3 linked regions of the Macaca fascicularis genome follow. The protein of the gene in region 3 purifies or fractionates together with the protein of the main gene of each other region. This does not show direct contact. Links are inferred from orthologs where the notes say so. Each region holds a gene or a part of one and is shown on either strand. Other genes may lie near its edges.

Evidence for each region. Proteins that work in one complex are often made in the same cells at the same time.
Region 1: the proteins of TMUB1 (region 3) and ERLIN1 purify together in Homo sapiens (affinity purification with mass spectrometry; 3 studies listed by BioGRID and IntAct, with this or other methods). This does not show direct contact. The link is inferred for Macaca fascicularis from reciprocal best matches to the Homo sapiens genes TMUB1 and ERLIN1.
Region 2: the proteins of TMUB1 (region 3) and TMEM259 purify together in Homo sapiens (affinity purification with mass spectrometry; 3 studies listed by BioGRID, with this or other methods). This does not show direct contact. The link is inferred for Macaca fascicularis from reciprocal best matches to the Homo sapiens genes TMUB1 and TMEM259.

Annotation. Positions count from the first base shown.
Region 1 is NC_088383.1:109,130,876-109,135,163, reverse strand, and holds the start of ERLIN1 (erlin-1), read left to right. Parts: upstream 1-1,488; 5' UTR 1,489-1,743; intron 1,744-1,904; 5' UTR 1,905-1,915; coding exon 1,916-2,028; intron 2,029-3,707; coding exon 3,708-3,789; intron 3,790-4,288. UniProt on the Homo sapiens protein: Component of the ERLIN1/ERLIN2 complex which mediates the endoplasmic reticulum-associated degradation (ERAD) of inositol 1,4,5-trisphosphate receptors (IP3Rs).
Region 2 is NC_088393.1:1,587,927-1,591,981, forward strand, and holds the start of TMEM259 (membralin), read right to left. Parts: upstream 2,801-4,055; 5' UTR 2,655-2,800; coding exon 2,430-2,654; exon of another isoform or gene 1,713-2,429; intron 1-1,712. UniProt on the Homo sapiens protein: May have a role in the ERAD pathway required for clearance of misfolded proteins in the endoplasmic reticulum (ER). Promotes survival of motor neurons, probably by protecting against ER stress.
Region 3 is NC_088377.1:192,360,959-192,365,243, reverse strand, and holds TMUB1 (transmembrane and ubiquitin-like domain-containing protein 1), read left to right. Parts: upstream 1-1,485; 5' UTR 1,486-1,540; coding exon 1,541-1,636; intron 1,637-1,687; exon of another isoform or gene 1,688-1,788; intron 1,789-2,370; coding exon 2,371-2,789; intron 2,790-3,063; coding exon 3,064-3,415; 3' UTR 3,416-3,872; downstream 3,873-4,285. Other genes in the region: FASTK (fas-activated serine/threonine kinase), read left to right, coding at 4,192-4,273. UniProt on the Homo sapiens protein: Involved in sterol-regulated ubiquitination and degradation of HMG-CoA reductase HMGCR. Involved in positive regulation of AMPA-selective glutamate receptor GRIA2 recycling to the cell surface.

The DNA.
Region 1 (4,288 bases), on a different chromosome or scaffold from region 3:
TAAGAGAATGTCTATAGAAAACAGGGTATGGAGCAAGTTATTTTCCATTCCTTTTGCTTTTTGGAAGTTAAAATACCTAAGCTCTGCAAATATCATTTATTAGGAACAGATAAGGTCCCAGACATTCCTAGATAATAAAAATCAAATGAATGATACAGGTAAGTGTATTTATTGAAGGGTGTGGGTAGAGTGGTCTGGGAAGGCTTCCTTTAATGAAGACAAATTGATTCTATTTACCTCTTCTCACTTCCACTACTAAAGTAACCCTGGGCCTGCAGTTTCCTAACCACTTGACTTTCTTGCCAACAGTCTGTCTCCACTTTCAGCCTTTTATAGATTCATTGGCCCTAAAGCACTGCTTTCCCATACTTCCCTACCCAAGAGGGCAGGGGTCCTCAAGCCCTGGGCCGCGGACCGGTACCAGACAGTGGCCTGTTAGGAACCCAGCCCGATAGCAGGAGGTGAGCGGCGGGCAAGTGCGCATTATCGCCTTGAGCTCGGCCTGCTGTCAGATTAGCGAGTGGCATCAGATTCTCATAGGCACATGAACCCTGTTGTGAACTGCACATGCAAGGGTTGCGGGCTCCCTGTGAGAATGCCTGATGAGCCGAGGTGGAACAGTTTCATCCCGCAACCCACACACACCCCCACCCCCTTTACGGGGACTGTAAAGGTCTTTATAACCCTAGTCCACCTTGTCCAGTTATAGTTCCACCTCTAGCCTTTCAAGGCTTAAACCATGAATGCCCTTGATTTCTCTTGTATTCATCTATCTCCCACCTATACCTTTTTCCTTCCCTTTTTTATTTTTGGCAATATGTGCCCATGGTTTAGAATTTAAAACGAACAGAATATGTAGTGACCCCTACCATAGCACTCCTTTCCATCACACAAGCCTTCAAGGAAACTGAAGTACTTTTGTCTCCCTGGAGGATTCCCTCTGCCTCCCGCCCCATGTGCTTAGCAATTCTGTTCCTGTTGTCTGGATGGCCTTCATAAAGCCCTCACTGGACCAGCATTCTGGCACATAATAGGAACACTTAAAAAGCGAGAGAATGATGCAGTTATACGTAGTGTCTTCCTCTTCTGAACTTTGACAGCACTTTATTTGCAACAAGTTTAGTTGCTCCTGAAGTGCAGGATCTGTGCTGGAAGTACGTGCGTGTTACACAGTGGGGCTCCTCATACACTGCAAAAGGACACATAAACCAAACAGCTACCGCTTGAGAATGACCGAGTGGGTTCTCTGCACAAGAACAAACCAACCAGTCCCTTGTCCGAAAGGCCCTTTCCTTTTCTCTGCTTCGCTGCTCACTCCAGATCCCCGGCTGTCCTCTTCCACAGCAGTTAACCAGCAGTGTACCGAAAAACAGCGACTTGCCTCCAAAAACCCTGCGCGGTCCGCGGCTAGGATAATTTTGTCCCATGCGCTTCCCGTCTCACTAGTCGCGGGCCGGGGCTACGCCGTGTGCGTCCCCGCGCAGCCGCAGTACTGGGCGAGTAGGCGGGGCCGGCTGTTGGCGGCGGTTGGCTTGGCCCGGGAGTCGGATGCACGTGCGGGCGGGGGCAATGCGTCACTGATCGGTGAGGCGCGGCCGAGGGGTCGGCTTTCCTCGCGAGCCTGCGGCTGGGCTCGTTCTCAGTGCCTTCCACCTGGGAGAGACCCTTGGGAGAGAGAGTGTCAGGAAGGTCACCGAGCAGGGGCGGCCCACTGGCCTCCAGGGGCGGAGGAGTTGGCAAGGGGTCAGCGGGCTCCGCCAGAAGGGAAGAATGAGGGGACTGGGGCACTGGACTCCGCGGCTCAGCCTGCGAGAGAGCGCCAGGCTTCCGAAGGGAGAGGGTGGAAGCTGGAGGGGGTGGACCTGTCACTCACGGGACTGAGGGTGCTTTTCTCCCGCTCCCAGGAGGAACGAGGATGAATATGACTCAAGCCCGGGTCCTGGTGGCTGCAGTGGTGGGGTTGGTGGTTGTCCTGCTCTACGCCTCCATCCACAAGATTGAGGAGGGCCACCTGGCTGTGTACTACAGGTGAGCGGCTTGTGCAGTCAGTCAGGGCTCTAGAGAACGTTAAAAGGGTACTCCAGAGTGGAGTCTGGGAAGTTGTTCCCTCTGCAGCGTTCGGGGACGCATGTCCCATCTCTAGGGAAAGCACGGGGGTCGAAGCGGGCTTTTACGGAACACCGTCCAGATGTTGGACAGTTTTAGTGCTATGTTCGTTTTGTTGCAGAGATTAAGTCTCCCTACGGTTATTCCTATACACAGCAAACTCAAATTATTTGTGGAAAAATGAAGAAGGAAGAAAGAAAGTAGTCATTCTACCTCTAACTGAAGAGATGGATAAATTATAGTTTGTCCAACTGTACAGACTTTATGCTGTATAGAAAATTTGGTTCTGTTTATGATTGTTTCTTAGACTTTTTCATTTAAAAGCTTCCAGTGTCTAGTTACGTCTTGTAACACCATGATGACCATGATAGTGGTTATATCCCTGGACATCCAGGGACATAAGCATAACACTGATGGGCCATTCTCCTCCCCCTTTACTGTTTCTGTTCAAGTTGGGGACAGGAGTGGTGTGGGAGCTGTTGCTTTCTTGTTGAGCTCTCATAGCTTTTCCTTCAGCCTAATTACCACAAGTTCCTTTTGATGTAGACTGGTAAGAGAGAGGCCAGTTTGTGAAGAAATTGGGATAATGGTGTATTCAAAAAGAGGGTCAACTTTTTGCTTGCTTCCACTATCCCTCAAAACTGATATTTCTATTTTCAGATCCATCCTGAATCCTAGAAAAAGAACAATTTTAATGGTATATCTTAGCAGATGGAGCTCTAGCATAAGAAATTACAGATTAGTCCAGATTTCCTTCCAGTTTAGCATTGTCTTTCTGGCAGTAAAACCAGAGAAAGGACATTTCAAAGAATGACTCAAAGAATTAGTGATGAACCTCAAACAGTTCATCTTTTCTTGTTATTATGACTTAGCAAACGTGTTTATATTTTCAAGACAGGAAGCTAAGTTCTGTGAATTTACAAGGTGCAAAATAGGACTTCTTTGTTTTATTTGCTCTCCAAATGCCTCCTTTTTTATAATTTCCAGGGCTTGCTTTCATAGTTTTCGCATTCCAGGATTTGGTGAACAGGCCCTTAACCTGTTTATATAGTCTTGTCACTCTTCATCTTTTCATGCTAATTTTTTTTTGTTTTTATATAGAAATTTTATGTTCCCAGTATTTTAATTACCTTGCAGATAGATTGAAAGAACTATAAGCCTCAGAAATTTTCTCTTTACTTCAAAGTTTGCATTGTCTTTTTTCAACCTGGTGATTAAATGTATTATATATTTTGATTTGGCTTTTGTTATGTACAGTTAATGTACCTCTACTGAAAGCCATTAAAATTTTTTAAACAAATATTTCTCAGAAGGTTAAAGACCGAGGAGAATCCTTTGAACCTGAGAGCAGTGCTGGAGATGCAGAGGTACGGTTGGTTGAGCTTATGAAACAAGGTGTAACATTGGCAGTTTAATTTGATCTTTTTACCTTTTTAGGTGTGGAGGTATTTTAAGCAGTTGTTCATTATGAGTAATTCATATTAGTGAGGCTTTGGTAGGTCAGCAGCATGAGCAAGAGTGAGTATTTATTATAGCATTTTAGATTTAGAAAGATAATTTTTGTTTTTATAATTTTGTCAAATTGAAACATCTTTTTGCAGGGGAGGAGCTTTACTAACTAGCCCCAGTGGACCAGGCTATCATATCATGTTGCCTTTCATTACTACATTCAGATCTGTGCAGGTGAGTGATTCCTAGGGAAGCCCCCATACCAGATAGACAGGTGTGACAGGAGTTACCACACTTCTGGGTGGAGATAGATTTCCTTATTGCTTAAGCAGATGGTGGTATTTACTTAAATGCAGGAGTTAACGTTCAGAGTACAGTTGTTACAACACAAGTTACTATGTTAAACCACCTCACTTACTTGAAATGAATTAAAAGTATGAACCAGGTAGCTTGGAAGGACTGACTTCTACCATCTATATTGTGATATGTAGCAAATTTTTTGTTGCTGCTATTGCAATAAAAGTAAGAATTAGGAACACAACTAGACATACAAACCAGTGATTTGATTATGTGGTTTAGAACAGTGTTTGGTTTCCACAGAGGCAGGCTCCTGGGCTACTGTTAACATGGAGGATCAAAAATTTTTTTTTTTTTTTTTTTTTTTTTGAGACGGAGTCTGGCTCTGTCGCCCAGGCTGGAGTGCAGTGGCCGGATCTCAGCTCACTGCAAGCTC
Region 2 (4,055 bases), on a different chromosome or scaffold from region 3:
CCAGGCAAGGGTGAGGGGCTGAGGGGCCTCGTGCTGGCTCAGGGCTGGGAGCTCCTGGCATTTCGTGAAGCCACCCAGGCATGGGGGAGGGCCGGGGGGCTCCATGCCAGCTCAGGGCTGGGAGCTCAGCGGCACAGGGGCCACAGAATGAAGAAACCTTGAAGGGACCGCACCAGGGAGGACCTGGCTCTCTGCAGGGAGAGCCCCGGAAGCCGGGTGGGCAGGAAGCAGAAGAGCCTTCTGGAATTCAAGGCAGCCTCTGAGAGCCAGTCCTAGCCTGCAGTTTGCAGATAAGTAAAAGTGAAGGCGGCAAGGTCAGATTCTGAACCACCAGATTACCTGGTGGAGAATTCACAACGAACCGATTTCCCCACCCAGGCCGGGCACGGGGGCTCACACCTGTAATCCCAGCATTTCTGGAGGCCAAGGTGGGCGGGTCGCCTGAAATCAGTTTTGAGACCAGCCTGGCCAACATGGCAAAACCCATGTCTACCAAAAATACAAAAAAAGTAGCTGGTTGTGGTGGCAGGCGCCTGCAGTCCCAGCTACTCGGGAGGCTGAGGCAGAATTCCAGGCTGAGTTCCAGAATTGCTGGAACCCAGGAGGTGGAGGTTGCAGTGAGCCGAGATTGAGCCACTGCATTCCAGCCTGGGCGACAGAGCAAGACTCCATCTCAAAAAAAAAAAAAAAAATTCACCACCCAGAGATCTCGCAGCCCAGAGCCCCCTGCTGAGAGAGGAGGGATGGGGGGCGCTAAGAACCTCCCCAGAATCTCCACCCTCCACAGGAGAGGGGGGACCTCCAGCTCTGGCCCAGCCCCATCTGACCACCTGTGAGTGGTACCTGCCTGGAGATAAGAGTTGGGTAGGCTTGATCCCTTTCCAAACTGGGACGTGGTGGGACGGAAGCCCAGGCAACAGGGATGCACCTCCCAGGGAGGCTGAGCTCTGTCGGGGGCACCTGGCCTGGCACCCAGCACACATCCTCCACAAAGCTAAGGACAGAGCGGCTCCATCCTGGACCCAGGCTACTCCATGGAAGGAAAACCCACGTCCACAGACCAGCCTCCGTCCACAGTTTCAGGTCCCGTCTGTGGACCCCAGAGCAGGGAAAGGCCGCCTGCCCGAGTAACCCTTCACAGTCCTGCTCAGATGCCCAGAGGCAACCACGCCACTCTGGAGGGCTGCAGGGAGGAAGAAGGTGGGAAGGATGACGGGCTGAGCTCTGGCCTGGGGAGGCCACAGATCTGGAGGCTAAGGGGCCTCCCTTGAGGCGGCGGTAGGCTGGGACCCACACGCAGGTCTGCAGGACGGCCAAGCTCCAGCTCCACCTGCTGAGCCCAAAAGAGCAGCCGGCTCCTGACCAACAGGCCTGGCCCGCCAGCGTCAGCCCCCTCTCTGCAGACTAGCTCCAAAAAGCTCACGGCGCAAGTTCAGCACCCCGCCAAGCCCCAGCACTGCGGTGTTCTGATGCAAAACAAAAACGGCCATGTCTCCATTTCCCCAGGTGGTCCAGGACCCCGGCCAACTTGTTTTCTGAGGGGCTGCACCTGCTGCTGAGCCCCTCCTGTCACCCAAGACAGACTCCTTCTCAGAGGGACTCAGGCCAGTACTGCACGGCTGAGACCTCTGTGCCATCTGAGAAGGGCAGGAGGGGGACAGAGGCCAAGACGCAGAGGTCGGTGCCTCATACAGGAGGCACGGGAGACAGACCTGAACTCCTGGGTCAGGAAGGGGGTGGGGACCAAGCGGAGGAGGCCGGGGATGGGCTGGAACGCTGCTGCCGGTGACTTTACCGCTAACCCTAGGGAGGTGACCTCAGCTAAGTCACATTCCCCTGAGGCTCAGGAGAGGGGAACGAGGTGGGGGCAGGTGGAAGCCTACAAGAGAGAGCCCCACCAGGAGGAAGAGTGGGGAGTGGACTTCCAGGGCTGGGGCTGGTCCAAGGGAGCCCTGGGTCAGACTGGGTTCTGGGCCAGCACACGGGGAGTGGAAAGAGGCCTCGGGACTGAGGGTCACAGGCGGCAGAGTCAGGGGTCAAAGGGCGGGAGGTGCTCCGTCGCAGGCCAGGACCGGGCTCCAAGCCTGGGTAGATAGGGACCGGGGAAAGGCGGTCGCCGGGGACAGGATGGTCCCTGGAGGGGGCTGAGATGGAGATTTCCAGAGAACAGCGGCTTCTAGTGCAGTGGCAACCGGCCTTCCCGGGTGTACGTCCCCGGGCGGGATGGGGTCACGAGACGGTGTCCCTGGCCAATCCCAGGGTCAGAGGTCGCGAGGGAGGACCCTAACCGGTAGAGTCGGATCTAGGCCTCGGGGTGCAGGGTGGCGCTCGGTGTCCCCACCGAGGCCAGGGGCCGCAGTCGCAGGTCGCAGACATGGGGGTCAGGCCGGGCGCTGGGGTCAAGGGTCGGGGGTCGGCGCCGCGGTCACCTTGAGCAACACGAAGAACTCGAAGAGACGGCGGAAGGCGGGCGGGAAGAGCCGCGAATAGGTGACAGCCATCTTGAAGAACAGCGCGTGGAACAGCCGGTCGCGCACGTTGATGAGGGGGTTGGGGTTGAGGTTGGGGGTGCGAGGCCCGCGCGCAGGGGCCGGGCCGCCGCCGCCGCCGTTGGGCCCAGGCCCCGGAGCTCCGGGCGCCGCGTGCTCCGACATGCCGCCCAGCGTCGCGCCCTAACGGCCCGCAGGTGTCCGAGGGCGCCTCCCGGCCGCCATCGGCCGCCCTTACCGCCGCCGCGCTCCTTACGGCCGCCCGGCCGCTGCCGCCATCTTCCGCCTCCTCGTCCTGCTGCGGCCCTGCTGACGCTAGCGAGTCGCCACGCCGGGCAAGAGCGGCCCCCCTGCGCCTGCAGGGAACGCTGGGATACCAGCGGCCGCCCGGGGAAGCTTCATCCCCGCCCTGGCCTGCGCCAGGGGGCGAGGCTACATCCGGCCCACGGCTTTTGCATATTGCACCCACAATCCACCGCGTCTAGGAGGCCAGTATAAGACGGTAAAATTTTGATAAGATATGGGATTTTGCGTGACGGAAGACACTCAAAGTAAGTGCAAGCAGAGAATTTATTTGGCAATATACAACTGTAGGAAGTTATGCTAAACATAAGACTGACCATAAGTTCTCCTAACTGTAAGGTAATTAGTTTGAAGGCCTTTAAATAACCGTAGCTGGAACTTTCGGGTCGTGCTCGCTTCGGCAGCACATATACTAAAATTGGAACGATACAGAGAAGATTAGCATGGCCCCTGCGCAAGGATGACACGCAAATTCGTGAAGCGTTCCGTATTTTTGCTTATAGTCCGCAGCTGGTCAGCTCGTTTTGCTTCCCTTCCCCGGACTCCCCGGATGTCCATCTACCCTGGCACCAGAGGTTGGCGATAGGACAATCTGGCCGTCCCCACTCAAGCACCTGCCCCTGTAGCCCTCGGGCAACAGTAAGTAAATGCTCTTCAGGGGCACGTATTGAGTCCCTTGTGCCTACATAAGAGGATACTATGGTTTCTGTTTTTGGGTTTTTTTTGTTTGAGACGGATTCTCGCTCCGTCACCCAGGCTGGAGTGCAGAAGCGCGATCTCGGCTCTCTGCAACCTCCGCCTCCCGGGTTCAAGCGATTCCCCTGCCTCAGCCTCCCAAGTAGCTGGGATTACAGGCATGCGCCACCGCGCCCAGCTCATTTTGTATTTTTGGTAGAGACTGGGTTGCTCCATGTTGGTGAGGCTGGTCTCGAACTCCCAACCTTAGGTGATCTGCCCGCCTCAGCCTCCCAAAGTGCTGGGATTACAGGAATGAGCCACAACGCCCGGTCTAGACAGGGTTTTTTGTAGATCCATGTTGCCTATGGTCTGAACTCTTGAGCTCAAGCAATCTGCCAGCGTCAGCCTCCCAAAGTGCTGGGATTACAGGTGTGACCCACCAAGCCCACCCAAAAAAAAGTTTTGGTTTTTGTTTGTTTGTTTTGACACAGAGTCTCACTGCCGCCCAGGCTGGAGTGCAGTGGCGTGATCTTGGCTCACTGCAACCTCCGCCTCTTGGGTTCAAGCAATTCTCGGCCTCAGCCT
Region 3 (4,285 bases):
AGGGCAGGAAGATGGTCTGATTCACCATTTTATTCCCAGTATCTTGCACAATGCCTGGCAAATAGTGTGTGTGCATATATATATATATATATATATATATATATATATATGCATATATATATTTCAAGACAGAGTCTCACTCTGTTGCCCAGGTTGGAGTGCAGTGGCTCGATCTCAGCTCACTGCAACCTCCACCTCCCACGTTCAAGTGATTCTCCTGCCTCAGCCTCCTGAGTAGCTGGAATTACAGGCACCCTCCACCACATCCAACTAATTTTTGTATTTTTTTTTTTTTAGTAGAGATGGGCTTTTACCATGTTGGCCAGGCTGGTCTCGAACTCCTGACCTCAGTGATCCACCTACCTCGGTCTCCCAAAGTGCCAGGATTACAGACATAAGCCACCGCGCCTGGCCATAGTATATCTTTTAAAAATATGTTAGTAGAATAAATGAATGAACAGGAGGGATGGAACTAGATAGGTTAGTTCTGTATGGTATCAATCTAGACTGACATTCCTAAGGCAATATTTGGGCCACTTGCTCCCACAGTAGGCAAGAACTATGGGAAAACTAGGATAGATTATTTTAAATCAAGACTGGCCTGTAAAAACCAGGATGTGAGATCTCTGTGGCTACAGGAGCCCAGAGGGAAAAATCCACAGATATCCACAGGCCTGGGATTCAATGTCATCCACACAGTAACACACCAGGATCCGATTCCAGAGACCAGCTTTGAGCGGAGGTGAGCAAATAGCTACTGTGTGACATGTACCTTAGTTTTCACACTTTTAAATAAAACATCTAATTTCTTCCTTATGATTGACTTACGACGTATGTTTCAGAAAGGAAGAAATTAATCTTTAGAGAGATTCAATAACCCACCCAAGGTCATATAGCTGAGAAGCACAGGATAAGGGATCAGGATTTGTGCCAGGTTCCAAGGTCTATGCTTCTTCCACAGTCCTGAAAGAGCAAGGTGGAGGAGGGGACCAAGGAAAGGGGCAGCCCTGAGGATGGGTATCCCTGGCCAGCCTAGTGGGACAGCCCATGGATATTGGGCTCTGGGCTGAAGAATTAATTTTGGTGGCCAAAGTGCCTTCTGGCGTCCACTCTGACATAAGGGTAGGGGCCACCTGAGTTCCTCAGAGCCTTCCTCACTGCATCACGAACACGGGTGTTCTGACGTGCTTCAGCTGACGTCGGTGTCTGGTGTGACAGATGCTCTGGCTGTTGGCGGGGGAGGGGGCGGACCCTGCTGCCGCCCAAACCTCTAGCCGGTAGCGCAACCCCCCAAAGCCGTCCCCACCGACCCCTCCGCGATCTGCTGGAGCAGAGAACCGCGGGTGGAGCCCAGCACGTGGGTCCGCAGGGCGGAGGGCGGAGACAGAGCGGCGCCGGACTACAAGTCCCACAATGCCCCGGGCCGCGGCGGCGAGGAAGGAGGGGTGCTTCAGGTGCCTGCGACCTCCGCGCCTCCCGCCCGGAAGTGTCCGAGGGGCCGCGATGGAGCTGGGGCAGCCGGGCGGTGAGTCCCCGCGCCATGACCGCGCCCACCCCGCCGCCCAGGGCCCCGGCCGGGCCCCGCCCGCCCTGCCCTGGATCGCCGTGCCCTCCTGCGGCTCCGGGGGGCGGGAAGGTGGGAGGGGTGATGAGGGGTGGGGGTAGGGAACGTGAAGTCTCGGATTCCGGGCGGGATCTGGGGTCTGGCAGCCCGCGGGGCTTGGAGACACTTCCAGAGAAGGCGTGGAGTTGGGCCTCCGCGGAGTGGGGTTGAGGGGACCGAGCTGGGTGGGTGGTGACGCTCGGAGGCTCCAGATTGCCCAGGGGCGGAGTTTGACGTTTGCTGTGGGGGAAGCCTGGGAAGCAGTCCTGTGCCGCGGGTGGGGTTTAGGTGAACCGTAATGCGGGGGGCGGGGGGTGGGGGCACAGAGGCTCTACCCCCACCTCGGAGAAACTTTAGCAACGGAGTAGATGAGCATGGGGTGAAGTCGGTGAAGGAGTAGACACACTGGGGTGAAGTGGGCAGGAGAATAGATACGCATGGGCGTGAAGTTTGGCTGGGGTGAAGTTTAGGGGAGGCGTTGCTTAGGCCCTTACCTTGGGATAGGGTTTGGGTGAGTTGGGAGCTGGTTGAAGACCTCGAGCTCAGATGACAGAAAGTTAGGACTTGGGATTCGGCGATGGGAAGGGGCACCCGGAGGCAAGTTTGGGGCGACTGGGAGGCAAAGCAGCCCGTACCCTGGGGTGGGTGAGGGAACCCAGGCTGAGGACGGTGGGAGCGTCGCGGTGGGGTGGGGGCAGGACCCTGTGGAGGTTCCAGGGCTCCTGGTCAGAGGGCCCGCGCCTCACGGGCTCTTTGTGCCTCTCCAGCTCGGTAGCGCGGCGGGCAAGGCAGGCGCCATGACCCTGATTGAAGGGGTGGGTGATGAGGTGACCGTCCTTTTCTCGGTGCTTGCCTGCCTTCTGGTGCTGGCCCTCGCCTGGGTCTCAACGCACACCGCTGAGGGCGGGGACCCACTGCCCCAGCCGTCAGGGACCCCAACGCCATCCCAGCCCAGCGCAGCCATGGCAGCTACCGACACCATGAGAGCGGAGGTCCCAGGGGCAGAGACCCCCAGCCTGAGACACAGAGGTCAAGCTGCACAGCCAGAGCCCAGCACGGGGGTCACAGCAACACCACCAGCCCCGGACTCCCCGCAGGAGCCCCTCGTGCTACGGCTGAAATTCCTCAATGATTCAGAGCAGGTGGCCAGGGCCTGGCCCCACGACACCATTGGCTCCTTGAAAAGGTACGTAGGTCAAGAGGCAGGAGCAATGCTGAAGACAGGGGTGGGGGGAGTGGTCACAGAAGGCCCCAGGAGAGACCTAAGACCCAGCCCTCCTTTATACTGGAGGCGCTGAGCGCCCCAGATCACAACTGCACTTGTTCCCTTGGCAGTCTGCCCCTCCCAGGCCAGGGCCGGTGTGTTGTGGAGGGCAGGGGAAGGGTGGGAGTGTTGTTCCGGGGCCAGGGACTAGGATTGCCTGAGGCCTGCTCTCTTACCCAGGTCCCTCTCTCCTCAGGACCCAGTTTCCTGGCCGGGAACAGCAGGTGCGACTCATCTACCAAGGGCAGCTGCTAGGCGACGACACCCAGACCCTGGGCAGCCTTCACCTCCCTCCCAACTGCGTTCTCCACTGCCACGTGTCCACGAGGGTCGGCCCCCCAAATCCCCCCTGCCCGCCGGGGTCCGAGCCCGGCCCCTCCGGGCTGGAAATCGGCAGCCTGCTGCTGCCCCTGCTGCTCCTGCTGCTGCTGCTGCTCTGGTACTGCCAGATCCAGTACCGGCCCTTCTTTCCCCTGACCGCCACTCTGGGCCTGGCCGGCTTCACCCTGCTCCTCAGTCTCCTGGCCTTCGCCATGTACCGCCCGTAGTGCCTCCGCGGGCGTTTGGCAGCGTCGCCGGCCCCTCTGGACCTTGCTCCCCGCGCCGCAGCGGGAGCTGCTGCCTGCCCAGGCCCGTCTCTCCGGCCTGCCTCTTCCCGCTGCCCTGGAGCCCAGCCCTGCGCCGCAGAAGACTCCAGGGGCTGGCAGAGGCCCCGCCCTGCGACCACCGGGGCTCGGGGCCACCTCCCGGGGCTGCTGGCCCTCAGTCCGCACTGGGAGTGGGCTCCTCGGGGTCGGGCATCTGCTGTCGCTGCCTCGGCCCCGGGCAGAGCCCGGCCGCCCCCGGGGCCCGTCTTAGCGTTCTGCCGGAGGACCCAGCCGCCTCCAATCCCTGACAGCTCCTTGGCCTGAGTTGGGGACGCCAGGACGGTGGGAGGCAGGTGAAGGGGAGGGGCATAGGAGTTCCCCGGAACTTGTGCAGATTAAAGTAACTGTGAAGTTTTCACTCTTGCAGTGTGTCTGAGTGTGTGCGGGATGGCGGGCGGGGACTCCTCGCCCCTTGGGAGAGAAGGGCACGGACGGCGCCCTCGGCTCTGGCCCACCGCTTTCCCTTCTCCCCTGCCTTCTGCTCTGGCTTTGGCGCCGGCCTCCGTGGCCCCGCCCCCGGTGCCGCGCGCGCACTTCCCGCGGGCGGAGCTCACGGCTCCCTGGCTCGCAGTGCCTGCCGGGAGCCACGTCTCCGCTGGTCGATAGCTGTTTCGGGATTGGTGTCCGGGCGGCTATCTGGGGGCTGCTGGGAAGATGGCGGACTCGGTGGCCAGCCGATGAGGAGGCCGCGGGGGGAACCCGGCCCCCGGGCCCCGAGACCGACTGAGGGAGCGACCTGCGCAGGGCCCGGGGAGTCATGTAGGGGTGGCG